Mus musculus: one gene and its partner. The protein of the gene in region 2 purifies or fractionates together with the protein of the main gene of each other region. This does not show direct contact. Links are inferred from orthologs where the notes say so. Each region holds a gene or a part of one and is shown on either strand. Other genes may lie near its edges.

Region 1 (16,204 bases), on a different chromosome or scaffold from region 2:
GACTATGTTTGAGTATAACCCTGGTTGGCCTGGAATTCACTATGTAGACAAAGATGGCCTGGAACTCAGAGGTTGGTCTATCCCTGCCTCTCAAGCACTGGGATTAAAGGCACACTCCACCAAGGTCCACCAGAACTTTGATGGCCCTGGGCTTCCCTGGGCTCACAGGCTCTAGTGGTTGGATCTAGGAAAATGCTGAAGCTCCAGCAACTCAGAAGCTGGAACCACAGCTGCCTGGCAAGCCTGCATCCCCAGAGGGTACATCACCTCACCTGAAGTGACCCTTTCTTCAACAATCCATAGAGAACCAAGGAATATGGGCAGCTGACAACCCAAGACTTACAACCTAAGAAGAGTAGGGCTTTCTTCCAGGATTCCTGCCCTTCATCTATATCCACACAGTACCACACCATTTCAGATACAGTACTCACCTATCAAACCAGCTGCCTGGAAGGCTGAGGCAGCAGTTCCAGGCTAGCCCAGACAGAAAAGCAAGATGCCAACAACAACAACAACAACAACAACAACAACAACAAAAGAAAGAAAGAAAGAAAGAAAGAAAGAAAGAAAGAAAGAAAGAAAGAAAGAAAGAAAAATGCAATATTAACCTTAACCATATCAAAGCTCTCCAGGAGCTCTCTCCAAGAGCTTGAAATGTACAGAGACCAATCTTGGAGTCCATGAGATAAACTGTTCAGTGACTAACCAACCCAACTATTCCTTTCAAGTCTGTTCCCCTCGCAGCAGAAACAAACAAGAGCTAACCACCTGCACTTTCTATAAAGCATTTAATTCCAAACTTCCAGATGACAGAGTATTCCAGAGAGCCATTTCATGCTCTCAAGAATTCTATCTTGGACCAGATGATGGTGGCACACACACTTAATTTGAACACTTCAGAGGCAGAGGCGGGTAGATCACTGTGAGCTTCAAAGCCAGCCTGATCTACAGAGCAAGTGTTCAGGACTATACAGAGACCCTGTCTCAAAAAAAACAAAACAAAACAAAACAAACAAACAAACAAAAAAACAAACCAGGTGTGGCGGCGTATACCTTTAATCCCAACACTCGAGAGGCAGAGGCAGGTGGATTTCTGAGTTTGAGGCCAGCCTAGTCTACAAATTGAGTTCCAGGACAGCCAGGGCTATACAGAGAAACCCTGTCTCAAAAAACCAAAAACCAAAAACCAAAACAAAACAAAAACCAGGCAGTGGTGATGCCCACCTTTAATTTCAGCACTTGGGAGGCAGAGGCAGGCGGATTTCTGAGTTCGAGGCCAGCCTGGTCTACAGAGTGAGTTCCAGGAGTGCCAGGGCTACACAGAGAAACCCTGTCTTGAAAACAACAAACCAACAAAACAAAACAGAATGTCTTTGTCAGGGTTTCTATTCCTGCACAAACATCATGACCAAGAAGCAAGTTGGAGAGGAAAGGGTTTATTCAGCTTACATTTCCACATTGCTGTTCATCACTGAAAGAAGTCAGGACTGGAACTCAAGCAGGTCAGGAAGCAGGAGCTGATGCAGAGGCCACGGAGGGATATTCTTTACTGGCTTGCTTCTCCTGGCTTGCTCAGCCTGCTCTCTTATAGAACCCAAGACTACCAGCCCAGAGATGGTCCCACCCACAAGGGGCCTTTCCCCCTTGATCACTAATTGAGAAAATGCCTTACAGTTGGATCTCATGGAGGCATTTCCCCAACTGAAGCTCCTTTCTCTGTGATAACTCCAGCTGTGTCAAGTTGACACAAAACTATCCAGTACACAGAACAAAACAGAATTCAAACTTGGACTAGAGAGATGGCTCCAAGGTTAAGAGCTCTCGTGGTCCTTACACAGGACCTAAGTTTAGTTCCTAGAACCCACATGGTGGGCCACAACCCTCTATAAGCACATGTATGATGCACAAACACATACGCAGGCAAAATACTCATCCATATAAAGTCATCTTTTAAAATATACTTTTTTAATAAAAGAAAAAGTCTAGCCAGGTGATTAGTGGTGCACTCCTTTAATCTCAGCACTCAGAAGGCAGAGACAGATCTGGAACTCTGTGAGTTCCAGAATAGCCAGGGCTACATAGAGAAAGAAACTGTCTCAAAAAAAAATTTTGGGATTTGGGAGGGGGCGGCTAGAAAGATGACTCAGAGGTTAAGAGCACTAGCTGCTCTTCCTGAGGTCCAGAGTTCAATTCCTAGCAACCACATGGTGGTTCACAACCATCTATAATGTGATCTGATGCCCTCTTTGGCATGCAGATAGAACATTTATATACATAAAATAAATTAATCTTTGAAAAAAAATGTTTGGAGGCTGGGGAGATGGCTCAGCAGATAAGAGAGCTTACAGCTCTCAAAGAGGACCCAAATTTGATTCCCAGTACCAGCATCAGGATACCACTCTAAGATACCTGTTGCCCTGTTCTGGTGTTCTGGCTCCCCAGGCACCTGCACACATGTGGCAAACACACACACACACACACACACACACACACACACACACACACGACTTTAAAAAAATTCTTTTTTTTTTAAAAAGAATTCTTTGTTTGGAAAGATGGCACAGTGAGTAGAGCACTGTGATACAAGCCTAGCAATCCGAATTTGATCCTCTGGAACCACATAAACATTAAGGGAGAAAACGAACTCCACAAAATTGTCCTCTGATCTTCACAGTTATGCCATCACTTGCAGTTTTCTACCATCAGGCACATAAGCATGTACAAACATACACACACTTTTAAAAGAATCCTCCTTTCAAAGGCAAAGTGTCCTATTTGGGCTCAAGAGTTGCAGCTGAAAGGCCAGACTACACCTCTGACATTCACATACAACACAGCATTCTGGCCTCCTTGGCGGCCACACATCTTCAAAGGCAGGTACTGGGTGCACAAGTCTGCCTACCACCCCAAGTACTATCAGCACTACAGAGAAATGGCTAGTCAACTACTCAGCCACAACTCATAAAGTTTTACCACAACTCATGAAGATGCAACTGCATGGGCTCTCAGACCTGAGACTGGAAGGAAGCTTAGACAGCACAGGTTCACTTCATTCAGGAAATGAGCCCCACTTCATAAGACCCTACACTAGGGAATACTTGTGCCCTGAGAATGAAAGGAGTGCAGACTTAGCAAGGCCACCAGAGAACACACTGCCTGCTTGCTGCTTAATGAACCTCAAACTCAGCTGCCCATTCTCACAACCAACTACAGAGCCAGGCTCAGGACAGCACACTCCCAGGAAATGAAAAGGAGCAGCCCTCAGAAGCGGCTTCAGAAGGAGTCTGTCATGAGAAGCAGAAAGCCTTCCAGCAAACTCAGGCTGGGGTCAGTTTGGGTTCAAGTACTACTGAGGATTGCAGGAGTAGGATACCCCTTCATCCAGCTCTGATCCTGGCACCTTGAGATGTCTGTCTGCCACAACCAGAAACATCATTAATCAAGGGATAATACATGCTCCATCTGACCAGTAACAGGGTCTCTACATAGCCTTGGCTGTCCTGGAACTCAAGCAATCCACCTGCTTCTGCCTCCTGAGTGCTAGGATAAAGGCTACTTACTACAAGCCTCTTTTAGATTTATGTCCAGGACAAAAGTCCCCTCCTACAGACTAGTGTTGGGACGGTTCTCCAGGTCTCAAGAACAAACCCCCAGCTTTGAGGACCATCTAAAAATTCACCGAAGACAAAGTCTACCTTCCTCAGGGAGACAAAACATCAAACAAAACCTGACTCCCAAGTTAGAACTGCCACTCTGCTCTTCTCCTGAACTGTGGTCACAGCAGAGAACAACAGGGACATCACTGTACAGGACCTAGCAGTGCTAACATGTATCCTCTTTCTGACAGGATCAGTGGCATTTTAAGTTAGTGTTAAAAGAGCTGTCACCTTTCAGCAGAAAGCAAAGCTGGAACACAAGACACAGGCAAAGTTCCACACCCATTGTCACAGAGACAGAGCCCCTGCAATGCTAACAGGTAACTCTCACCCAGTTCTGATCACATAGGACTAGCAGGCCAAGCCTTCCCTACTCAGGTAGAGTGTGTATCAGCTCATGACACCCTTCCACAAGGCTGAAACCACTAGCATTATGTCCTAGCCTAGCCACAGCTGACACCACTAGCATTATGCTGTCTGCATAAAGGGGGCTAGCTTCATCCCACCTTCCTTTATGGGGCTACTGGGAAGAACAGAACACACTGTCAGGGTACCTCAAAAATTAATTAGGGTTGTACATCTCTCCTTATTAACCAGGGGTGTAGATAGCTGAAAAAGTTCACACAATCCACCCTGCATGAATTCCTGAAGCAAGTAAATAGAAGAAGCCCTTCCAGAACAGTTCGTGTAGGCCACTGCAGCACTTCCAGGTCTGAATCCGGGTCTGAATCCGGGTCTGAATCCGGGTCTGGAAGGTATGCTTCCAGGACGGGCCACCACTTCCTTTGCTGCAAGGAACTTGCAAGCCAGCAGAGGCAAGTGATTCCAAGTAGGAAATGATGGCCATGGTGCCTGCTTCTGGAAGAGTGAGAGGAAGACAGCAGCTCCTGAGATCTGCTCCAGAGTCCAGCAGTGGTTGAGTCCTCCTTCACCAAGCCTTCTTCCGTCCTCCCACTGCTTTGCAACCAGGGCTACAAAGCTGCCTTTGGCAAACTCCATCTTGGACCACCACTTCACTATTTAGCTTTTCATGGGACTGTGTATAGTCTTTCCACTTTTTTGAAAAATGAAATCTGTTAACTTTAAGGTTACATTCACATTCCCCACAGACACATCTCAAGCCACCTGTGATTTTCTCAGTCACCAATGCTCCCATTAGGCCATTCCACAGCTGGCCTTCAGGACTGGAGCACAGGGCTTCTTGAGAAAATGGGGGCGTGGAGGCAACTCCTGAATCACAGGCCCAAGAGTTGAAACAAAATGCAAAAAGGGAGGACTCTTCTCTAGGAAAGAGGTCAAGACATGGAACATGTATGAGAAGCTGATCTCTCAGGAAAACATGGTCCAGACTTTCTTCAAACAGCAAGGGCACCACAGGACTAAAAACTCTATCACTGGCTAAAGGGGAACTCAGTATGATTTCTGTGCAAGTGTAAGTCATACCCTTCACCTTTATTCATACGACTACAAGCAGATGTACAGTATACGTCAGAGACTGTCAACACCCTAAGCAAACACACATTGAGGTGAGTGAAGCTTCCACAGTTCTGGAAGTCTATTAGCTGCCTTTTGGAAGGGAGATGGGGACTTTCTGAAGTACAGGCCTGGCAGGTCAGTGCTTGCTGCTGCTGAGGCTAGAGCAGGGATGGCTATCTTACTGAGACCTCCTTGGTCAAGGAGCTGGTCAGTCAGAGGCTGTGGACTTTAGGTCAGCTACCTGGCACTGATTTTTTTTTTAAGCCAACAGCTAAATTTGTTAGCCATAATTGCACACTCATAAAGGTAAGCATTACATGACACCATTCTCTGTCACTTCTCTCTGAAGAGGGTTAATTTTAGTGTTCACTCTTCAACTCTGTCCTCGTTTTGTATTTTTTCCATGAACATCCTAAATATGTGTCAATTAGCAAGTGGTGGAGCTTATAACTGGGCAGAGCAAAGCACAGATCCCTGCACAAACATGCAGCTCTTACCTGGGCCCTGAGCAATCACGGAAACAGTGCAAATGTCCAGGGACCCTTCAATACCACAGCAAGAAATGGAGGACAGTGCTCCAGGCTGATTCTACAAAGAGATTCTGCAAAGCCAGCCCCTGGCACATATACCTAGTTGTTTTTGTGGGTGGTCACTGACAGTGCATTTTGGGAAACACTTCCCTCCTCACTCAGAGACAAGTTCTCAACTCCATCCACCACAATAAGGTCTCCCTTTGAGATATACACTCCAAGCAACTTACCCACAGGCCAAAGAGCATAGTAATACTTATGACCAAGGGAAAATTCAAGAAACTAATGTTTGGGCCAGGCATGGTGGCATATACCTTTAATTCCAGCATTTGGGAGGTAGAAGCAGACAGATTCTCTGTGAGACTACACTGGTTTACATACATAGTGACTTCCAGTGACTGTCTCAGAAAAAAACAAAACAAAAACCTAAAATTTGGGCTGTCTACCTTCCTTCTTTTACCCACAAAGGGTCTTCTAGTCAGACCTTACCTAACACTTGGACCCACCTGATCTATAGCATCATGATTACCTGTCAAAGCGCTTGCTGGTCCCAACACTCTCACATACAAGCAGTCAGGATCTCTGATAAGATCTCAAGCAAAGGAGTTACACAGGAGTTAAAATTTCCACTGTGGAAGAGATGAGCAGTGGTGGTGCAATCGTTTAATCTGGAAGAAGAGGCAGGAGAATCTCTGAGGCCAACCTAGTCTAAAGAGCAAGTTCAAGGATAGTCAAAGCTACATAGAAGAGGAATCCTTCTTGAAAAACAACATCAAAAAATTATACTGTGTACACTATGGCTTCAGCAAAGATGCAAAAGCCATCAAGGCTATGTTTTCCTATCTCTTGTTTTTACCTTTTAATATCCTAATATATCAATCATGTGATTACAGTCAGTAATACCAATCACTGGCAAACAAAACAACAACAAAAAACCCAACAAAACCTTAAACCAAAAAAAGAAAAAAGAAAAAAATTTAAAAAGGCTTTCTAGAAGATTTTTATCTAGCCTGTCCCTATTCTACCTCGAGAAAATGTCTACAGTATTTACTAAATTACTATCAAGGTGATCTTAAAGACCAAGAAGAAAATAATTTTGGATCCAGCAAGCAGATCTCATAGAAACTAGAGCACCTCTATTTCTACCAAGACCACACAAACAATGTGAATTATTCTGAACACACCACAATACAGTGTACATTGTACATTGCTAAGAGTAACTGGTCAAGCATAGTCAAGGGAACTCAAAAGACTCAAACCTCGGTTACCTGTCCAAGCCCAAGATGATTTTTCTTCCATCCCGAGCATATTAAAAAGTGATCTCAAAGGCCACTTCCTGGTCTCCCAGCAAACACCTCATATCTGAATGCCTGTGCATCTTCCCATGGCCCTGCTCCTAACAGCAACAAGGATACCCGCCCCCTACACTGCCAACAAACCTTTGGGAAAAATACAAGAACAGGTGAAATTAGTCTATGCTCACACAGGAAGAAAAAGATGTCCCTCTGCTCACAGGACTCTTAGCAGAGGAAAGTGTGACATAAAGTAACCCCTTACAATTAAATCTTGACAGGCTAGGGCCCAAAGCACCTCAGGAGGGGCAAGAGAGAGATGGAAAGAGGACCGGAAGGTAGGAATAAGAGAACAATCAACTATGACGGGCAGTAACTCAGTACCAAAATCCCATGCTTTAGCTTCTGGTCAGATGCGCAATGGAGCATTTAGGCCAAGAAAGATGACAGGAAGGATCCCACTCTCTGCAGGGTCGTCTTTTCTAGAAAGACCCCAGGAAAGGTTTGTCCACTATCAGAAAAAAGAGGAGACTCTCCAGGCATCACAGGTAGACAGACTGGGGGCAGAACGGGCCTAGGGTTCCCTCCTAGCCAAGAAGGAGGTTCAGCCAGGAGACCGAAGGGGAGTAAAGGCCAAGACTCCGGAGACGCGGGCTACTCTAGTCATCGCGGAGACACTAGTTGCTTCCCACCTTGCCCCCGGCAGGGAGACCTTCCCGGGGGGTTCTCAGTTCCCAGGGTTGAGGTGAGGCAAGGAGGCACGGTGGGGACCACCAAGGGCGGTCGGGCTGGGACAACGGAGAAGAACTAGCTCTGATCAAAGCTCCAAACGCTCCCTCAGTCCAGGCCGCGTGAAGCCTCGGCCTCAGGTACCCTCAGCTGCCGGGCAATCCGCCTTGCCTGCGGTCCCCGGACCCAGGAGAAAGAGAGACCGAGATGGCAGTGGCTGTGGCGGGCAGATCACCGCCTGGAGAGAGCCCCTAGCCGGGGGCGCGTCGGAGGGGGAGGGTCTCGACACATGCGGCCTCGGTCCCCGATCGCGAGGCAGTCACTTACGTTGCTCTGGGAGTCGATGGCCTGTAGCAGCCGGTCCCTCATCTGCTGCGGAGACGCCGGAGCCGCTGTCATTGCCTGGGCGAAGCGGGGGGGAGCGGCCGGGCCGGCGGGCGGGCAGGCTGAGGAGGGGGAACGCGGGTCAGTCACTCGCCGGCCTCCGGGAACGGAGCCGCATGTTCCCCGCGGCGCCGGAGGAGGTCAAGGCGCTCGGGGAGATGGCGAGGACGGAGGGAAGCGGAGGGGACCGGAGCTCAGGCCCCGGACCACCGCCGCCACCGCCGAGCGAGGAGGAGGAGCCGACGGAGGAGCCTCCGCCACCACCGCCGCCGCCGCCTCGAGAACCAAACTCCAGTGAGCTGCCCCCCGCGCTGAGCACTCTGGGTAACCCGCGCCGCACGCAGCGTCGGCGCCACGCTGAGGAGGTTGGGAGATGGGGCGGGTGGAGACGCCGGGTTTGGGAGGGTCCGGCTCGTGAGCCCCTCCTATTGATTGTGCGCACGCGCGCGCAGGCGCAATTAGCAGGTCCTGCCGCCTGGTTCCGAGGTCCGACACAGAGGGCCGTTGGGAGGCAGTTGGGCGTGGCAACGGACGCTATCTGAAGGCCACGCCCACTCGGGACTGGAGGGATGGGCTTCCTAACGGAAGCGCACCCTTCAAGTCCTGGAACACCGACTCTATCTTCTGACTGCTTTGGGGTTGCGGAATGGAAAGACCCTCCCCCGGATGAGGGCCTCCTGCGTTTAGAAACCAGAGGATTGGAGCGGCCATAGGTAATCTGAGGAAGGCAGCGGTTCCCTGCGTTTAGACTCGTGCCTCGAGGAGCTCGGAGGAGCTCCGCACAGCCTTCTCCGCTGCAGAGGCCCCAGGCGCGGGTCTGCAGGGCAGTGCGTGTCCCCATGTGACCCGCGTGCTGCGGGGACCTAAGGTCACGTCTGGGAGCTGCCACCTCTGCAGAGGACGCAAGTCTGCAAGGCCTGCGCGACGCTGACACCTCGGGTCTGCATCCGTGCGGGGCTGGAACTCAAGAGGAAGCACCGCTTTTGTCGCCTTCCTAGAGGCGGGGGGGGGGCGGGGGGGGCTGGAGGTGGCCAGCCTGTGTCTGAACAGCAGGATGCGGAACCGTCGCCCAGCATCTTCCCCTTGGCGTTCCGAGGGGACGGAGCGACCCCGCCTTTGCATCTCAGGTGATGGAAAACAGGAACGCCTCACGGGGGAGGAAGGGAAGCACCAAGGTCACCTGGAGTTTTAAGTCAAACCAAGAAACGAAGGAAGTCAAGTATAAAGGCTGCGGTCCTCCGTCCTTCGGTGACCCCTACAACTGGACAGATGGAGGGCGGGCTCCGAGTTTAGTGCACTATACGAAAGTGGCCTCGGGAGAAATAACTTCGTGTAGTGTTGTAACCTTAAAAATCCAGACATGAAACGGAAGGGAAACAGGTAATGAAAACCACATGTACTTCTGAGAGCTGCTCAACACCTGTTAATTTTAAATTTGTCATACTTCGGGGGGGGGGTACTGGGGGAGGTGAGGAACCAGGCATTTAATTCCAACGCTTGGGAGGCAGGAGGCTCACTGGAGTTCCAGGCCAGCTTGGTCTGCACAGTGAGTTCCAGATTAGCAAGGACTACGTAAGTAAGACCCTGCCCTTTTCTCCCACCCACCCAGAAAATAAATTTATCATGGCTGGTTTCTTGATTCTGCACATGACAGAAGGCTTTGCATTACACCAATAGAATGAACACGAACAAATACTTCTCAAATACACTCTCTTCCTGGCATGTGTTTGGAGCTCAGGTTCCAAGTTGGAAAGCAGCCCATTTTGAAGATACACTTAATCTCACCAGATAAGCAAAATAAACAAGGTCCTCCATCAACATTGGCTCTTAGTTTGGTGTTTTTTGGCAGAGTTTATGAAGCCTGAGCTGGTCTCAAACATTTTATTCCTTCCAGTGTCTCCTGGTGCATTACATTTATGCCAATCTTCTGTCTTTTATTATTATCTAATAGTTGATTTTTATTTTTCTCCCCTTATACAGGCTCTCACTACAAAGCCCTGGCTGGCCTGGATCTCACTATGCAATTCTGACTAGTTTGAAACTCACTGTGGAGACCAGGCTAGCCTCAAACTCACAGATATCCGCCTGAGTTCTGCTGCCCAAGAGCTGGAATTAAGTGCATCATCCTACCCTGCAGACCTGCTATCTTGTTTATTCAGTGGTATAGTATGCCTTTTTTTTTTTTTTCAAAACAAGCTATAAATTAAGCAGGCAATTAGTTTTGCATGGATCAAGTCATGAAAACATCTTGGACAGCATTCAATGTACCTGCTGACCTTGCTATTTTAGATTCCTCCCCAGGTTTTGAGACCACATGTAGCCTAGGCTGGCCTTGAACCTTTTTCTTTTCTTTATTTTTTATTTTATTTGCCTGGTATGGTGGTACTCAAGGGGAGGCAGGAGGATCTCCGTGAATCCAGTCTAGTTTACATAGTGAGTTCCAGGATAGACAGCCATATGTAGAGAGACCCTGTCTCTAAATTTGATATTAATGTTTTGCCTGTAGTATATATGCACCTATATGTGCCTGGTGTCTACAGAGGCCAGAAGTAGTTGTCAGATCCCTAGAACTAGAATTACATGGAGTTGTGAGTACATACTGCGAATTGAATCCTGGTCCTTCTTTGAGAACAGTGCTCTTAACTGCTGCATTGTCTCACAGGCCTGGCCTTGAGCTCTTCATGTTGCCTCCACCTCCTCAAGCGCTAGAATTATAGGGCATGTACCACCCACCATCATACCTGGTGCTTCTGATTGCATTTTCTATGCCTAGCCTTTAATCTCAGCACTCAAAGAGGTAGAAACAGGAGGATCTCTTGAGTTCAAGGTCATCATATAGGTATGGGGAATTGAACTCTGGACGAGCAGCAAGCATTCATAATGGCTGAGCCATCTCTCCAACCCATTTTCTTGTTTTGTTTTTTCAAGAAAGGGTTTCTTGGGCTGGTGAGATGGCTCAGTGGGTAAGAGCACCTGACTGCTCTTCCAAAGGTCCAGAGTTCAAATCCCAGCAACCACATGGTGGTTCACAATCATTCGTAATGAGATCTGACTCCCTCTTCTGGAGTGTCTGAAGACAGCTACAGTGTACTTACATATAATAAATAAATTAATTTAAAAAAAAAAAGGGTTTCTTTGTGTAGTTCTGGCTGGCTGACCTGAAACTCATTTTATAGACCAGGCCGACCTCAAACTCATAGAGATCCACCTTCCTCTGCCTTCAGAGTGCATGACTACAATATTGTGGAGTCCTATGCACACAACTTTATTCTACTTGTTCATTTACCTAAGTTTGATTGTTTGTGTGTGTGTGTGTGTGTATATATATATATATATATATAACTGTTTGTGTTGTACAGAGGACCACTGCCAAGAGTTAGTTCTCTTCTACCATCCTGGGGATCATCTTAGGCTTGGCTGGGTTAGTGGCTATACCTGCTAAGCAATCTGGCCACTCTGGTTTTTCCTTTTTTGAGACGGGGTCTCCCTCTGTATCCCAGGCTAGGCTTGAACTTCTAATCTTCCTGCGTGAGACCCAAGTGTAGTCCTGTTTAAAAGTGACACCAGGGGCTGGAAAGATGTCTCAGTAGTTAAGAGCACTGACTGCTCTTCCAGAGGTCCTGAGTTCAATTCCCAGCAACCACATGTTGGCTCACAACTATCTGATGCCCTCTTCTGGTGTGTCTGAAGACAGCAACAGTGTACTCACATACACAAAATAAATAAATCTTTAAAAAAAAAAAGTGACACTAGCTGGATCTGGTAACTCACTCCTATGATTCCAACAGTCAGAAAATGGAGGCAAGAGCCGGGCGTGGTGGCTCATGCCTTTAATCCCAGCACTTGGGAGGCAGAGGCAGGTGGATTTCTGAGTTCGAGGCTAGCCTGGTCTACAAAGTGATTTTCAGGACAGCCAGGGCTATACAGAGAAACCCTGTCTCGAAAAACCAAAAACAAACAAAAAAACCCCAACAAAAACCACGTAAATACTGTAAGAAGATGCTTTCGTTTTAATCAGAGGTGTGGGATTGCTTCAGATTATGCGTCAGGTGTTGTGTTTCAGATTGTCCACAGCAGCTAAGTCTGATTTGCCTCACTCTCTAGAAGAAGCATGATTTGCCAGCTACAGATGGTTTCTGCGTTTGTGTGGTATTTTGAATTCTGGGGGCTTTTCAGAGGGTGTATAAATGCTAGGACCCCAAGAAGGGTAGGTTGTTGGTTGGTAGGTTGGTGCTTTTTGGTTGCTGTTGGTTGTGGTTTGTTAAGTAGTTGTATGTAAAGAAGAAGAAATTAGATATCCTGACCGTGAAGATCAAACTTGCCCCTAATCAGCAGGAAGTGGTGACATAGTCTTCCACAAAGACAGCCTCCTTAGCCTACCCAAACAGCATCAGGATCAGGGACCAATGCTCAAACATCTTTTAGGAAGCCATTGTCATTCAAATCACCACATTCCATTTGACTACATAGACTCATAGCCTTACCAAACTGCAAAATATTTCAGATCAAAAGTTCCCCTAGTCTTTCACAGTCTCAACACTGCTTAAAAGCCCATAGATGCTTCTAAGACTCAAAACAATTTCTTAATTGTAATCTCCTGCAAAATCAAAAGGCAAATTATACAATTGTTACATACAATGGCACAGAATACATATTACCTTTCCAAAAGGAGGATTGGGTGCTTGGTGAAAAATTACTAAAAGACCAAAAGCTACCAGGGCGAACTCTAAAGCCTGTATGTAGCTCTGTGTCTGATGTCAGAGGGCTGAGATGGCTCTGTGTCCAGCCTTGCTGCCTGCAACACATCTCTCTGTCAGGATGGTTCCACTTCCTGTGTGCACACTCCTTGCCAGACAACTCATGAATCTGGCATCTCCAATATCTTGGGGTTTTCAGTGCAACCCCAGACTTCACTTTCACAGCTTCACACAGTGGCTTCTTAAGGACTTCCAACTGGGATTCCCCTGCCATAGGCTACCTTTGCCTTGCAGAAAGAAAGCTTAGCTGGGTGGAGTCCTGCTCTGAGGGCATCATTCTCTTTGTTCCCTTAGGCAGAGCAAGCCTGTCTTTACTGATGCTGATCTCAAGTGTAATACTAAGCCTCCAGGGTATTTTCCCACAATTCAGTATATACCTGTCATGTTTCGTTCTGCCCCATTGCCCCTTTTCATAAGCATTTGCATAAGCATTGGCAACCATAACCACAGACTCAACATATGTTTGGAATTCCTTCCACCAAAGAAATAAGACCACTGCTTTTAAATTTAATCTCAGGCAAGTTCTCCAGACAAGGCAGAAGGCTACCACATCCTCTGCCAAAACAGTTCAGGGACGGCTCCTGCCCAGTTACTAATGCTGTTCCCTCTGAAACCTCTTGAGCTGGGCCTTTACAGTCCACATTGCTCGCTCTCAGGATGACTGTCTTCCAGGCTCCTACTGCGACTAAGATGATCTGTATACTTTCTTACAGGGGTCAACTGCTATCTTTAGTCCAAAATTCCTAAGTCTTCCATGTCCTTCCAAAAAACATGGTTAAGTCTGTTAGAGCTACAGCCCACTCTATAATACCAACTTCTTTTTTGTGGTTGTTTTGTTTTTTCAAGACAGGGTTTCTCTTTGTAGCCATGACTGTCCTGGAATTTGTTCTATAGACCAGGCTGGCCTCAAACTCAGAGATCTCAGAGAGCTGCCTGCCTCTGCCTCCCTCTCAAGTACTGGGATTAAAAGCATGCACTGCCACCACCAACCTCCTAGTTACTTTTCTGTTGCTATGATAAAACAACATGACTAAGCCATGTGGTGTGTGGCACATGATGTTAATCACAACACTCAGTAGGCAAGCAGACTAATGAGTTCAAGGCCAGCCTGGTCTACAGAGCAAGTTGCAAGACAGCTGGAACTGGGTTCTCTAGGGTCACAGGGCTTATGGAATGAATACATATATAAAGGGAATTTATTGGAATGACTTAGAGTCTGCATTCTAGCTAGTCCAACAGTAGCTAGCTGTGGATGGAAAGTCTAAGAATCAAGTTGTTATACAGTCCCACACGGCCGGATATTTCATCTGGTCTTCTGTATCTGCTGGAATCATGGAGAAGTAGGCTTCAATGTTAGTAAAGGAATTGATGCGCTAATAAGGCAAGAGCAAGCAGGCAAAGAGCAAAAGCTTCCTTCTGTGTCCCTATATGAGCTTCCAGCAGAAGGTATAGCCCATGTTAAAGGTGTGTCTTCTCCCTTCAAAGGTCCAGACTAGAAGTGGATTCATCTACTTTAAACCAAGCAGAATATCTTTCATAGGTGTGCCTTCCATTTCTGATGTCATGTTGACAACCAAGAATAGCCATCACAACTAAGACTACATGGAGAAACCCTGTCTCAATAGACTAGACCAAACAACAACAACAACAAAAAAACCCAAAACAAAACAAAAACAACAAAAAAAAAAAAACAAAAAAATTCCACCAAGACTAAAAGTGACTTCTGGAAGGAAGAGTTTTTGTCTCAGATGCTACTTCCTCCAATGAGGCCACACCCTCTAAACATTCCCAAACATCTCCACCAACTAGGGACCAAGTGTTACATGCCTGAGTCTATGGGGGCATTTCTCATTCAAGGCAGCACAGAGGCCCCAACTATAGTTGATCCTGTTCTCCAGTCTCACAAAGTCTGGAACTCAAGGTGTGTACATGCCTGGCCATTTACTCTGTGGGGCATTTTTTGAAGGATGGTCTCACCGCCTAGGCTGGCCTACAATGAGAAATAAACGTCATTAAGGAGAAACCTGCTCCACCCTGGGAAAAAGGGAAGGGTTCCCTCAGAGCTTAGGGGTTTTCTGGGGCTAGAGAGATGTTAAGAGATCAGTTAAGAGAACTGACTGATCTTCCGAAGGTCCTGAGTTCAAATCCCAGCAACCACATTATGGCTTACAACCATCCGTAATGAGATCTGACGCCCTCTTCTGGTGTGTTTTAAGACAGCTACAGTGTACTTACATAGAATAGTAAATAAAAATGGATTGGCTGGAACGAGCTGGGCAGGAGCGAGGAGAGGTCTTGAGTTCAATTCCCAGCAACCACATGAAGGCTCACAACCATCTATACAGCTACAGTGTACTCATATACATAGAATAATAAATTTTAAAAAGGGTTTTCTGACACAAGGGCATCTTGGCAGTTGGGAGCCAATGAATACCACAAAGTGACACCACACATCAAACTTCACATGAGATTTATTGGAGAGAGACACAGAATGGCGGCTGTCTCAGTGAGAACAGCTACAGCAGAGGGCTGCGTGAAGGAAAGGCTCTTATAGGTTTTAGGACCATGCACAGTGAGCATGGAAAGGTGGAAAAGTCCAGAGCTGTCCTGAGCATCGTTCTGCTGTTAATGCTGAATCCTACGGAAGGGGATTGCCTGGTCTCAAGAGCCAGGCTCAAGCCAGTGGCTGGCTGTCCCTCCTTTGGCCCTTTTCCCTGCTTTCTTCCCTTTTATGTTTAGTATTGATAACTAATCAGGAGTCAGGAAAGAAAACAACATTATCATTAAACTACTTCCTGCTGTGTGAGGGTGTTGAAGTCCATGGGGCAAGCATGATCTTCACCATCAGGGCATGTTCAGGGGTTGTAGGTCTCTGGTCCCTGTAGTTTGGTGGAGAAGCAGGGTTAGGGAGAGTAGTGTCCAACTCCATACAGGACCATCAGTGATCCATCAGCCAGAGAGGCACTGAACTGTTGTTTACATTTTTGAACATCTGTCAGGAGTTGTCAGTTCTTTACTATAGCTAACTGGCTGACATAGAAACATCATTCCTCCCTGTGGAGGAGGCAGAGGTCACTCTTCTCCACTGTTGGTAGATCTAAGCTCATCAATTTCTCTCTAATGGTTTTTAAGTTGTTTGCATGGAAACGAGAATTTTTCTTAAAGCCAGACAACAGCTTGTGTGTGTAGCCTCCCCCAGCCTTGAGCAGGCTGACTCAGACCTGTTCTTTAAGGAGACTTTAAGGAGACCACCTAGGGTGGAGTCTTCCGACCTAGATGGGTCTATTGTTCTATCACCTGCGCTGTTCTCCAAGACGCTACCTGCTGAGAGTCTGAACCTGCCTTCCTGAGAAATTCCTGAGGTAACTGACAACCTGGCT
Region 2 (14,652 bases):
CGGGACCCCCGCCGGCCGCGGCCGGCCTAGCGGACGTCCGTCCTCTTCTCTCCCGCGACCTGTCCCCTCCGGACCCCCGAAGCACGCAACGGCCGGGCCCGAAAATGGCGGAGCGCGACCCGCCGCGGCCCTCACGGGTGCCACGGCGGACTTACCGTGGGGGGCCGGGAGGAGCTCCTAACCGCGAGCGCGGCGTCCTTTGGCGCCGCAGGGAACGTCTCTCCAGTCTGGTCCTCCTTCCCTTCTCCTCACTCTTCAATTCCTCTCCTTCAAAGATGCAGCCGCCATCTTACCCGAGGAGCCACCGAGCGTACGCCTGTGCGTCATCACGGCCTCACGGCGCTACGCCCCGCGCGCCTGTGCCGCAGGTCTACCGTAGGGCTCGAATAGAGCATGCGCGCAGGTGAGGGGTGGGGCTTGGATACGGCGCCCAAAGATTTGAGTTCATCTTGGCGGCTGATGGAGGTATCACAGTGCTGGAACCTTTCGCCTTTCATTCCTCACCCCATGAGGCATCCTGCATATTCTCAGAACATCCCATTTCACAAAACTAAATAAGATACTTGTTAAAGCCAGCTGTAGTGGCTCATGCTTGTAATCCGAGCACTTAAGAGGCTGAGACACAGCCCGGCAGTGGTGGCGCACGCCTTTAATCCCAGCGCTTCAGAGGCAGAGGCAGAGGCAGAGGCAGGGAGATTTCTGAGTTGGAGGCTAGCCTGGTCTACAGAGTGGGTTCCAGGACAGCCAGGGCTGCACAGAGAAACCCCGTCGCGGGGGTGGGGGGGGGGGGTTGGGGGGAGGCAGAGACAGGAGGATTACCATGAGTTCAAGGTCGAAAAACCAGAGCATAAGCCTGTGATAAAGAAGCCAGCACTATAGCCTGATTATCTTAGCTTGATCCCCAGCCCTACATGGTGAGAAAGATAGACAAATTCTCCCAACAAATGTACCGATTGGTCAAGCGTTTGCATGTAGGAAACCCAGAGTTTTCTCTTCTCTCTAGCACTGCGTAAACTTGGTTTCAAAGCCTATGAAGTGACGACAGGAGGGACAGAAGTCCAAAGGCATCCTTCAATACATAATCCAATCCAGCCTGGTCTACAGCGTGAGTTCCAGGACAACCAGGGCTACACAGAGAAACCCTGTCTCAAAAAACCAAAAGGAAAAAAAAAAAAAAAAGAAGAAACAAGGTGGGCCTCAAACTCAGAGAGCCACTTGCCTCTGCCTCCCAAATGCTGGAATTAAAGGCATGTTCTACTATACCCAACCTTAAATGGTTTTGTGTGTGAAAAATATATATAGGAAAATGATTGAGGACGACACCTTTTACCTCTTAGCCTCTACACACACACACACAAGCACCACAAAGCTCTACAGAGTTTGCACTAGTCAGTCGTTTTTATTTAAATGATGGAATTGCTTCCTATCCTCCCCTACTTGTCCTTTTCAGTCTTGTGTTGGGTAGATGACATGCCGAGCTAGAATTATTTGGGAAGACAGAGCCTCGGCTGAGAAAATGCTCCCTCCAGATTGGTCTATGAGCAAGCTGGTGGTACACTTCCTTAATTGATGATTGATGTGGGAGGGCCCGGCTCATTGTGGCCAGCTAAAAGAAAACGGGCTGAGCAAGCTATGGAGAGCAAAGAGCCACTCCTCCATGGCTTCTGCATCAGTCTTGCTGTCTTTCATTCTTTCTTGGACTTCCCGCAGGGTGTGAGGGACTGTAATCTGGAAGTATCTGAGAGCTTTCCTCCTCAAGTTGCTTTTGGGTATGGCATTTTACCACAGCAATAGAAACCCTCACTAAGACACCATGGGTCTGAGATATCGGAGTCCCGGACATAGCTGTGTTTGCCAACAACACACACACATGCACTCATGACTTCACCTTCTCCCACACCACATGAACCAGGCATGGTGGGACATGCCAATACCAGCACTTGGGGTGCAGAGAGGCAGGAAGAATCAAGTTTGAGGCAGTCTTTGGCTACATAGGCAGTTGGGGGCTATCCTTAGCTACAAGGCTAGGTGCTCCCTCGGGTCCTGGATCTGGTTTCCAAGGACTGCCTACGATCCTCAGTTGGCAGATGTGTGAAAAGGAGTAATCAGAAGCCAACAGGCTTTTGCCTGTGGACGGACATATACAGGCAAAAGTGACCCAGGCAGACCTGTGCACAGGCTCTTGCTGTCTGCCTGATGGCAGCTGTTGCTGCACCCCTGCACGCCCCAAGGTGTTTAAAGAAGTTAAATCTTACTGAGAGTTAGTTCACTACTGAGGTCACCTTTCTGTCCCCAAGACAAAATACCTTAGCATATTTATTTAATTTTTAAACGTTTTTGTTTGTTTGTTTGTTTGGTGTTTTGAGATAGGGTTTCTCTGTGTAGCCCTAGCTGTCCTGGAACTCTTTGTAGACAAGGCTGGCTTCAAACTCAAAAAAGATCTGGTTTCAAAGTGATAGAATTAAAGGATTATATCACTATGCTGGGCCCTAATTTTTTAAATTCTCAAAAGATTATGATTTTCATTATATATGTGAGTGTCTGTATGAATGCCCATACACATGAATGCAAGTGTCTTTGGAAGCCTCAAGTGTCAAATCCCCGGGAACTGGAGTTACAGGAGGTTACAGGGCACCCAACATGGGTCCTTGGAACTGAACTCATACAAGAATAGTATGCATTCTTAGCTACTGAGCCATCTCCCCAGCCCTTTATTGTTATATTTTAAAATGATATTTGTATATGTATACACACACGTATGTCATGGCACCCCTGAAACTAGCAGCTGAACTCAGTAATATGTAAGCATCTCCACCTGCTACTGTTTTTGAAGGCTTGAAGGGCTAACGAAGAGCACGAAAGACTTAGTATCATATAGCAAGGCTGAAGTCCTTGCAGAAGGCAGGAGTCCACTGGTGAGGGTGCAGCCTCGCCAGTTACAGTGGAGCCACGAGTATTGACGAGCTCAGGGAAAGAAGTTGAGGCTTGGTGCATGTGGCAGGGTCAGTCCCTGAAGAGGCTGAGATGCAATTAGTAGAGGTGTAACCTTTAGGTATAGGTAGAGTTGGAGCTTCGCCGGGCCTTTGCAATCCAGACTGGGCGTGAGTCCCAGGAAGGGGATTTTAACTGTGCCGTTCCTACCTCTTGAAATAAGTTTTTATTTTACACATTTGAGTGCACTGTAGTCATCTTCAGACACACACCAGATGAGCACACCAAACGGCTGAGAGCCACCGTTTGGCTGCCAGGAATTGAACTCGGGACCTTCAGTAGGGCAGTTGGTGCTCTTAACAGCTGAGCTATCTCTCCAGCACAAAATAAGTTTTTTGTTTTTTGTTTTATTATATGTAAGTACACTGTAGCTGTCCTCAGACACTCCAGAAGAGGGAGTCAGATCTCGTTATGGATGGTTGTGAGCCACCATGTGGTTGCTGGGATTTGAACTCCTGACCTTCGGAAGAGCAGTCGGGTGCTCTTACCCACTGAGCCATCTCACCAGCCCAGAAATAAGTTTTTATGTGTATAACTGTTTTACCTGCATGAATTTATGTACAGCACTGGCATGCCTGGTGTCTGAGGAGCAGCAGAAGAGAGCACCAGATTCCCTGGACCTTAAGTTATAGGTACTCTGAACTGCCATGTAGGTGCTGAGAATTTAATACAGGCCCAGCACTTACAAGAACAGCAAGCAAGCGCTCTTAGCCACCCACCGTACCATTTCTCTAACCCCGCTCTTCTCTGTATGAACAAAGAGTGCTTTTAGTGAGTCTTCTCTACAGCCCCCACTGAGCGACTTTTCTTTGGTTTGGCTTATTGTTTTTTATTATTATCTGGTTTGGAAGGGGATGGTTTGTTTCAGACAAAACCCTATTGGAGCCCTATCTGCCCTGGAGCTTCCTTGTCCAGGCAGGCCTTGAACTCACAGAGATATGCCTGCCTCTGCCTCCCAAGAGCTGGGATTATAGGCATGCATCACCATGCCCAACAGTGAACTGTATTTATATTGTGATATGATCATGACACTTGGGATAACAAATGAGCAGCTATTCGATTTTTTTTTTTTTTTTTTTTGGTTTTTCAAGACAGGGTTTCTCTATAGCCCTGGCTGTCCTGGAACTCACTTTGTAGACCAGGCTGGACTCAGAAATCCACCTGCCTCTGCCTCCCGAGTGCTGGGATTAAAGGCGTGCGCCACCACGCCCGGCTCAGCTATTCGATTTTTAAGGTATTGGTTTTGTTTTTTTGAGACAGGGTCTATGTATTCCTGGCTGTCCTGGAACTCACTATGTAGAACAGCCTGGCCTCAAACTCAGAGATCTGTGAGTTTGCCACTGGATCCCAAAATCTGGAATTTTAAAGGCTTTAAGAATTTTTGTTTTATATGTGGGTATTCTACCTGCATAAGTCTGTGTGCCACTTGCACGCAGTGCCCACAGACACCAGAAGGGGTGTGAGACCCCTGAAACTGGAGTTTAAAATGGTTTAGCCATGAGTGGGGTGCTGGGAATCAAAAACCCAGATCCTCTGGAAGCAGCAGCTGGTATTAATTCTTGAGCCATCTCTCCAACTCAGGTTATTAGTTTATGTCTAATAGACAAGGGGTAATTTGTCAACTTCACACAAATTAGTCATCTAGGAAGAAGGAACACTGGAAAAAATGCCTCCATCAGATTGGCTTGCAGGCAAATCTGTAGAGGTCTTTTCATGATTAATGATTGACAGGGAAGGGCCCAGCCCTTCTGGGCAGGTTGTACTGCTACATGGGAACCAAGCCTGACACAGGATCCTTATAGCACTCATATTCCAGATCCTAATCATTAACCCCTGTCTTAGTCAGGGTTTCTATTCCTGGACAAAACATCATCACCAAGAAGCAAGTTGGGGAGGAAAGGGTTTATTCAGTTTACACTTTCCACACTGCTGTTAATCACCAAAGGATGTCAGGACTGGAACTCAAGCAGGTCAGGAAGCAGGAGCTGATGCAGAGGCCATGGAGGGATGTTACTTACTGGCTTGCTTCCCCTGGCTTGCTCAGCCTGCTCTCTTATAGAACCAAGACTACCAACCCAGAGATGGCGCCACCCACAAGGGGACCTCCTCCCTTGATCACTATTTGAGAAAATGCCTTGCAGCTGGATCTCACGGAGACATTTCCCCAAATGAAGCTCCTTTCTCTGTGATAACTCCAGCCTGTGTCAAGTTGACACAAAACTAGCCAGTACACCCCACTTTGTTCTATTTTTAGAGGAGGATACTTTTTAAGGCAGGGTCTCACTTTGTAGCCCTGGCTCACCTGGAACTCTCAGAAATTCACCTGCGTCTGCTCTCCAAGTGCTACCTCTATTAGACATCTCATACTACGGGTTCAGATACATAGCACTATAGTTTTCTAGGCTACCCGCCCACCGGGGTCAGTTTTTTATTTGAGACAGGATCTCACATAGCCCAGGCTTGCCTTTAATTTGCTATGTAGCCGAGGATGGCTGAGCTCCTGATTTTGTGCCTACATCCCAAGTACTGAGATTACAGCTTTACAAATGGCTATTTCATGACTGGGGCTGTAGCTCAGCTGGCAGAACATTTATCTAGCACACAAGAGGCACTGGCTTCAATCTTCAGTATCCAACCAAAACCAGGAATGGTGGCATAATCTCAGGAGTCTAAAGTTGGAGGAGGGTCAGAAAGAGGGCCAGCAGAGACCATGCTTTTTAAAAAGAGGGGAAAGACTATTTCATAATCTCTCCTATCACAGCTCTTTCTGGTAATGATTGTATTATTGCATCAGCACCATAAAGATTATGAAATGATTGGCCAGGTATGTTCTCTTATAATTCCAACACTCAGGAAGCAAGCAGATTACTATTAATTACAGGCCTTGTCTCAAAACCAAACCAAACCAAACCAAACCCCGCAGGCAGGTGTTGTGGCTCATGCCCTTAATTCCAGCTAAATATATTCTTTGGCTGGATAGCCCAGTAAGTGTCTCGGATACATAAAGGGACCTTGTGACACTTGTTTAACAAGGGCTCAATCTATCAATTGTCTACATGCAGGCACCCTCTGCACCTCCCTTGCATTCTTCCCTGCCCCTGCTGGCCTTCCCAGTAGCCACTGGACCCCATTTCTTCTCAGCACTTCGAAAGTGACCTTCTGTGTTTGCTTCATTCTTCTAAGCACAGACAAGCTCTCTGCAGCTCAGCTCCCTGGTTGTCCCTTCACGGCGTCTTCCAGCTCCTCTCTCCATAGTTCCATGCTGACCCAGAATCTCCTCTGTAGCCACTCCTGCCTAGGGCCCATCACATCTTCATTTTTGGGAAGCAGGGTCTTCTGCCTCCTCATCCCCTCCTCCAGCCTCCAGAGAGCAGTCTGACTAGGCAATTTCAACTCTTCCTCCCTCCCCATCATTAATCGGAAACACCTAGCTTGTCTATTTCATTTTCTCCTGCCATGTAGCTGTTTCCTCCAAGCTGGCTACAAGCACCACCATCTTGAATCACAGTAGCCCGTGATCCGAGACAGGACTTCCTGAGATCCAGCCTGCTAGCATCCCTTAATGTTAATCCCTCACACGACTCTTGAGCTGTCTCCTTTCAAGCATTTTTTTCTACTATTTCCCCTTACTTTCCCTCCAGAAAGGAGGTGGAGGATGGGGGAGAGGAATGTTTGGTAGGGTCAGGTAGAAGTTCAACCTTGTATGTATGCATGTATGTATGTATGTATGTATGTATGTATGTATGTATGGCTGCCCTGGCAGGCTGACTTATGTATGTATGTATGTATGTATATATGTATGTATGTATGTATGAATGTTTGGCTGCCCTGGCAGGCTGACTTCAAACTCCACAGGCTGGGATTTAAGATGAGAAGACACAGAGGTCCTGATTTCTAGCACTGAGACAGGAGCACAGTCACTCGCTCCTTCCATATCACCTCGGTAACAGAATACGTGTCACTCAGTATTGGATCAGAGGTTTGGATTAGGTATCTACCTTATGAGGAGTCTTTAGTGTTTAGGTCTTCCAATCTGACCTATCTTAATTTGAAGGTGACAATATGAACTCTTTAAGGCCACTTCAAATACATTCTCCAAGACAGCCTCCTTTCCCTTAAGATGAAGTATGTCTACCACAAGGCTAAGGACCCTAGACGGTGCTCCCCATGGTGAGTTTCCATCCTGTGTCCAGGGCAGGCAGAGTGGTGGCAAAGTTCTTTTAGTCAACTGTCTCTCACTCTTTAAACATTGCAGGGTGGCTGGGGACTGGCTCAGTGAATAAGGGTATGTGCTATGCATGAAGACCTGAGTCTGTCCATTAGCACTACCGTTAGTGAAAAGACTGCTGTGTTCCCACTGTACATGCCTTGAACCCCAAGGTACAAGCAAAAAGAGAAAGTGAAGACAGGATTGTTGGGGCTTTTGGTCATCCAGCCTAGATATAGGTTCAGTGAGACAGAGCCCATTTCAAAGGACAGAAATATGGGTATACACCCAATGTCCTCTGCTAGTCTCCTTACATAGATGCACACACTTGCACATACATATGTACAACACACAAACAAACAAAAGCAACTTCTGGGCTAGAGTGTTGCTCAATGGTACAGCACTTTTCTAGTATGTACAAGACTTTGGACAGAACTGACTCCTGCCCCCCACACATGTGCCATGGATCATGTACCCTCTCCCCATTAACAAATAAATACAATTCTTTTAAAAAAAAACAGTGTTCTGGTTTATTTCTCCCCTTTACAACCAAGTGAAAACACTCCTCTCCTATGCAAGTTTTTTATATATCATTTTAGCTTCAAAAACTACAAAATAATTGACATTAAAATCTGAAGTGTCAAGAACAAAAAAATAGTAACATGGGGTCCAAAAAAACCACGGTACGAAGTAGTCAACGAATGTTTGAACATCATTCTACCTCAGCAGTTCAGGATGGCAGCCTGCCTGACCACAGCAGCCTTAAAAGGCTGCAAGGAGCGCAGATGGTAGTTATGGTCTAACAGTCACTGTGAAGATAGCACCTACAGCATCAATAGCCAGCCTTTCTTTCCTCTCCAGAAGCCAAGCTGAAAGTGTTGGCTCACACCTGTAATCCCAGCACCTGCGAGGCTGAGGCAGGAGGACTGTTATGACTTTGAGAACTGGAGAGACACTCTCTCGCAGTGAAGCAAAAACTACGAAAGAAGCTCCAGCGTCTTCTGAAGCAATGTTCCTGCATGAGGCCTCCCCAGGCTTCAGACCGTGGTGCTGTAACTCAAGGAGCAGAGTGACGTCTGCGGATCAGTACTGGAAGCTGCGCTTCGTCTGGATGTCATCGAGAATCTGCTGCAGCTCCTCATCTTCAAAACGCCCTTCCAGGCTGTAAGAAAACCAAGAAATGTAAGTGACTTGGCCGCTGGAGGTTTCCCCAGTCTGTCAAAGGAGGCTCATCTCCGAGCAGCTCGCTTAGCTCTACTGCCTCGAAGTTTAAACTGAATGGTTTTTGACATTCCTTTATATAAGCACTAAAAAGTTGTAAATAGAAAAAAGATTTTTAAAAGCTTCAACAGTCACACATGATGTAAATTTAATTTTGTTTTGTTTTGTTTTTTTCGAGACAGGGTTTCTCTGTGTAGCCTGGCTGGCTGTCCTGGAACTCACTCTGTAGACCAGGCTGGCCTCAAACTCAGAAATCCGCCTGCCTCTGCCTCCCGAGTGCTGGGATTAAAGGCGTGCGCCACCACTGCCCAGCAACTCAAACTATTCTTAAGCCAGCATGACCATTTACACCTGTAATCCCAGCCCTTGACAGGTGAAAGCAAGACAATCAAGATGTTCAAGGAAAGCCTTGGTTACCTGAGACTACCACCAACAAACCACAAAACCAATCCCCAAATCCTATCTCAAACACCATTCAACTACATTCCTATTCAATGCTGCCATGTCATTAACCCAAATATTAAATGCATACAACTTTTAGTTCTAGCAATTTGACTTATAGAAATCTATAGAAAATAGACAGAAATCTATCCCATCCGGTACTAACCTTGGAATCAGAGCTTTGGACTCTTCAGCAGTCTCCGGGCAAAGATTGGCTAAACAGGCCAACTCAAACTTATGTAACTTTTTCTGGAGAAGCAAGCTGATTGTAGCGGAAAATAAAAACACAGAAAGACTGTGATGAAGTGAGCAGTAATGGGGGGAAATAAGTATGATCAAAATATATACTTGAATAAAAATGTCACAGTGGGACCCATTACTATGTGTAGTTATATGCTAATAAAAAACAAAAATTAGGCCGGGCGTGGTATTGCACGCCTTTAATCCCAGCACTTGGGAGGCAGAGGCAGGTGGATTTCTCAGTTTGAGGCCAGCCTGGTCTACAAAGTGAGTTCCAGGACGGCCAGGGCTACGCAGAGAAACCCTGTCTCAAAAAACAAAAAAAATTATGTTCTCATTCAGTGTCGGTCAAATGCTAATCATTCATCAATAGCAAAAAGGAGATTGTAATATTTGATTATGGTTATGTGGGCATCAGAATCCTCCTTTGAAGTCACTTCCTGTTCCTACCCCAGAAAATCAACAAGTTCCAGAAAAAAACAAAAAACAAAACAAAAACAAAAACAAAAAAACAAATGAAAAACAGCAGGCAGAGCCAAGAACCCTGAAAAGAGCCCAGCAGGGTAAGGCGGCATATACACGCTGCATTGGAGAGGGAACTCGGGAGTTAAGTGATGCTCTTTTTAGAGGTCACAGGTTGAGTTCACAGTACCCACACGATGGCTCACAACAGTTTGAAATTCCAGATCCAAAGGACTCACTCTGGACTCCGTGATACTGGGCACTTGTGTGGTACAGAGGTAAAACACTCGTACACATAAAATAAAAATTGAATAATTTAATAAAGCTTACTAGAATAAGTTTGGTTTCAAAATGTATGTAGTAAAAACTTATATACTCTAGAGGACTGGCGAGATGGCTCAGCAGGAAAAGCATCTGCTAATGTTCAGAGGACCCAAGTGAGGTTCCTAGCATCTACACTGGGTGGCTCCACACGTCTACAACTCCTCTCTGGCCTCTGCTAGTGCTGGCATTGAATATACATGGTGCACATATAGAAAAGCATCTATATACATATAAACAACATAAAAAAAATGAATTGCTAGCCAGGCGTGGTGGCGCACACCTTTGATCCCAGCACTTAGGAGGCAGAGGCAGGTGTATTTCTGAGTTCAAGGCCAGCCTGGTCTACAGAGTGAGTTCCAGGACAGCCAGGGCTACACAGAGAAACCCTGTCTTGAAAAAAAACCAAAAAACCCCAAAAACTAAAAAAAGAAAACAAAAAAAAAAAGAATTGCTGTGCCTGATGGCACACGCTCACGGCAGCCTGGTCTACAGAGATACAAATCTGTCTCAGTAGTAGAAGTAGTAATAGTAATAATAATAATAAATAATGATTAATAATAATAATAAGGCTGGTGAGATGGCTCAGCAGGTAAGAGCACTGACTGCTCTTCCGAAGGCCCTGAATTCAAATCCACAAAGTGTCCCACAACCATCCATAATGAGATCTGATGCCCTCTTCCAGTGCATCTGAAAACAGCTACAGTGTACTTATGTATAATAATAAATAAATCTTTGGGCCAGAGCAAGCAAGGACTGAGCAAGTGGAGTTGATCGAAGTGAGCGGGGCCAACCAGAGAGGGCGGGGTTGACCAGAGCAAGCAGAGGTCCTAAAAATTCAGTACCCAACAACCACATGATGGCTCACAACCATCTGTTCAGCTACAGTGTACCCATATACATAAAATAATAAATATTTAAAAACAAAATAATGATGATAATATAATTTTTTCTAAAATAAACAAACAGAAAAACAAACAAACAAACGTGTGGTGCTGGACACCTTTAATCTCAAAGGAGGTGGTTCTCTGTGAGACAGAAAACAACCTGGTCTAATATAGAGTTCTAGATCAGCCAGGGCTAGTGAGACACTGCTCAATATATATAAAATAAAAATAGGTACAAAAAAATTCTACCTGGGTAGAGAGTGCATGATGGCATATACTAGTGACCCCAGAAGTTGTGATGCAAAGGAGAAAAATTTGACTTTGAATCAAGGCTAAGAGCCTTTTTTGTTATAGGCAAAAAAAATTTTTTTGGGGGGGAAGGCGGGCTTCAAGCTCCAGATTACTTTTTTTTAAGACTTATTTATTTATTATATATAAGTACACTGTAGCTGTCCTCAGACACACCCGTAGAGGGCATCTGTAATCTCAATAGAGATGGTTGTGAGCCACCATGTGGTTGCTGGGATTTGAACTCAGGACCTCTGGAAGAGCAGACAGTGCTGTTAACCTCTGAGCCATCCCAACTTTTTAAAAAAAAACAAAAACAAAAAAATAAATAAATAAATAAATAAATAAAAACAAGCCCGGTGGTGAAGGCAGAGGCAGGCGGATTTCTGAGCTCGAGGCCAGCCTGGTCTACAAAGTGAGTTCCAGGACAGCCAGGGCTACACAGAGAAATCCTGTCTCAAAAAAACCAAAAATAAATAAATAAATAAATAAATAACAGGTTCTATCTATGTAGTCCCGGAACTTGCTATGTAAAGCAGGCTGGACTGAAACAGAAACTCTCCTGTCTGTCAACCAAATTCTGGGATTAAAGGCATGCAGTACCCCACCCAGTTAGAGTGTTTTTCAGTATTTGTGTGTGGTTTATTTAGCCATTTGTGTGTTTGTATGTGTATGTGTGTAAGCATGCACGCTTAGAAGGCAACTTTTGGGAATTCATTCTCAGAGCTGCTGGGTGCATCTGGGTTTCTCTATAAGCTCGGGTCATAAGGCTTACACACAGAAAGCACTGTTTGTTTGCATTTGTTTCTAGACAGAGTTTATCTGTGTAGCCCTGACTGTCCTGGAACTTGTTCTATAGGCTAGGCGGGCATCAAACTCAGAGATATGCTTGCCTCTGCCTCCTGAGTGCTGGATTAAAGGAGTGTACCACCACCTCCTGGCTAAAGCATGTTTTACTTATTGAGCCATTTCATTGGCCCCTATTTTGTTTTAAAACAGCATTTTTAAAAACAGAGCACCATGTAGTCAAGGCTGGTTTTGAACCTACTATGTAGCTAAGGATGACCTTGGACTCCTGGATCCTACAGCCTCTATCTTTCACGAGAGTCTATAATAATAAAACTGTTTTGTAGGGCCGGAGAGGACCTGGGTTCTGAGTCCCAGCACCTACGCAGTGCCTCACAACTGCCTGTAACTCCAGTTCTGGGGACCTCACACCCTGTTCTGGCCTCTGTGGGGATTGTACACACATGATGCACAGACATACAAGCATCTAAAACACCCACAATCCATAAGTAGATTTTGGTTTTGAACGTCTGTTTAGTACTCACCTGCGCACACTGGCAATGGTCTCTCTGTTTTTGAACCGGCTGAAGCGGGCCGTGTAGTTGAGGGTTTTCATGAAGACCTCCGACAGCTCCTGCTCGTCCTCCGCGCTCTCGTTCTGCTGCTTTCGATGCTCCAGAAGCATGTGGACTTCCGAGTTCAGCAGAGTCTCCGCTGTCTCAAACTCTGCAAGAGGAAGTGTGAACTGAAAATACTCTCCTAAAAGTCTCAGCATCTGGGAGGCAGAGCCAGGATGATCTCTGTCTTTGAGGCCAGCCTGGTCTATTATTAGTGAGCTGCAGAACGGCCAGAAATATAAATTAAAAAACAAACACCAGCCAAGCGTGGTGGCGCATGCCTTTGATCCCAGCACTTGGGAGGCAGAGGCAGGCGGATTTCTGAGTTCAAGGCCAGCCTGGTCTACAAAGTGAGTTCCAGGACAGCCAGAAGACTGGAGACACGAGCATGTACTACTCTTAGAAAGCAATTCCCAGCACCCACATCAGATACCTCACAGTACTGCTAGCCTCTTCAGGTGCCTGCACAGACAATTTAAAAAAAAATTAATTTTAAAACAGTAATGTAGGGCTAGAGAGACAGCTCAGCCCCTAGCAACATTGGTTAATCTTCCAGAGGATAAGGGCTCTGTTCCCAGCACCAACAAGGTGGTTCACCATCATTAGTTCCAGGGGATTCAACATATACTTATGGCTTCTATGGGCACTACACATGCATGCAGACATACATGGAAGCAAAATAATCTGTACATATAAAAATTTTAAAACAAGAGATTCTCCATCTCAATTAAAAAAAAGACACAAAAGGCAAACGATAGCATCACTTTCTGGGGCTGAGCAGGTGATAAAACGGATCAAGTACTTGCCACTTCAGTGTGAGATGCAGAGTTAGGGTCCTCAGAACCCATACAATACGTATAGAGGGCTCCTATAATCCAGCAGTTGGTAGGAGGAGACAGGGGATTGGTTTCCTGGGGCAAGGTAAACTAGGTAGACTAGGCAAACTGATGAACTCTGGGTTCAGCAAGAGGTTTTGCCTCAGTAAGTGCAAAAGAATCAAGGAAGTTACTCAACACCAACTCTACACCCCTATAAGCACCTACACAAGAACATATGCCCACACACACCACACAATAAACACACACAAATAAGTAAATGTCACTAGCTGGGCTGGCAATGTAGCTAGTAGGTAGAATGTTTCCCCAGTATGCACAAAGCAACAAATTCCATCCACAGCACCACATACATTGGGCATATGCCTGTAATCCCTTAACTTGGGGGCAGAGAAAGAGGCTAGCCAGTGCTACATGAGACTGTCTCAAAGAATGAAGGGGTGGGGAGAGACACTGATGACGACAACGACTGTAATTGAGAGGGCAAAAACCCAAATTCAGTTCCCTGCATCCAATTCAAATAGCTCACAACTGCCCATAACCGTGGCGCTAGGGACTGTGATACCTTGGGTCTTACACACACATGCTCATGCCCACAATTAGTTTTCTTTGTTTGTTTTTGGCTTTTTTTGAGATAGGGTTTCTCTGTGGAGTTCTGGCTATCCTGGAACTCCTGTAGACCATGCTGGCCTTGAACTCAAAGAGATCCACCTGGCAACTGCCCCAGGTGCTGGGATGAAAGGGATGTGCCACCACCGCCAGGTTTGTTGTGATTTTTTTTAATTCCAGGTTGGCCTCAAACTCATGGAGATCAGCCTGCCTCTGACTCCAGAGCCCTGGAATTAAAGGCCACCACCACCTGGCTTATCTCTTTCATTTCTGAGACTATGCTTACGTCAACTCCACCTTCCTTTCTTCCCTCTAAACCAGTGATTCTCAACCAAATGCTACAACCCTTAAAACAGCCTCTAAGCCAGAGTGGTTCATCTCTGTAAACCTAGCTCTGTGGCAGTAGAGAAAGCGAAGTCCAAGGTGCCTTCCTATCTAGTTCCAGGCCAGTCCGGGCTACTTGAGACCCTGTCTCAAAACAAAACTCACAACAGCACAGCATGAATCTTGGGGGTCTTACTGTAATACCCAAACTAGCCTTGAACTTTTGGGGTCAAACTTATTCTCCTACCGAAGGCTCCAAGTAGCAGGTACAGAGAGCACTACGCCCAGAGGCTGGCACACATCCAGCAAAAGGAGGTACCAGACATCCCAAACGGGAACCCATCTTGCTTCCATCCGTTCTTCCTAACTTGAAAAGCTACGAGGGTCCAGAAACCAACGGCAATAGCAACAGCATTTCTCCAAAG

Evidence for each region.
Region 1: the proteins of Polr2d (region 2) and Med26 purify together in Homo sapiens (affinity purification with mass spectrometry; 3 studies listed by BioGRID and IntAct, with this or other methods). This does not show direct contact. The link is inferred for Mus musculus from reciprocal best matches to the Homo sapiens genes POLR2D and MED26.

The regions. Positions count from the first base shown.
Region 1 is NC_000074.6:72,539,885-72,556,088, forward strand, and holds the start of Med26 (mediator of RNA polymerase II transcription subunit 26), read right to left. Parts: upstream 8,427-16,204; 5' UTR 8,083-8,426; coding exon 8,011-8,082; intron 6,331-8,010; exon of another isoform or gene 6,192-6,330; intron 1-6,191. UniProt on the Homo sapiens protein: Component of the Mediator complex, a coactivator involved in the regulated transcription of nearly all RNA polymerase II-dependent genes.
Region 2 is NC_000084.6:31,789,758-31,804,409, reverse strand, and holds the end of Polr2d (DNA-directed RNA polymerase II subunit RPB4), read right to left. Parts: intron 12,571-14,652; coding exon 12,390-12,570; intron 9,123-12,389; coding exon 9,027-9,122; intron 8,361-9,026; coding exon 8,282-8,360; 3' UTR 7,701-8,281; downstream 1-7,700. UniProt on the Homo sapiens protein: Core component of RNA polymerase II (Pol II), a DNA-dependent RNA polymerase which synthesizes mRNA precursors and many functional non-coding RNAs using the four ribonucleoside triphosphates as substrates.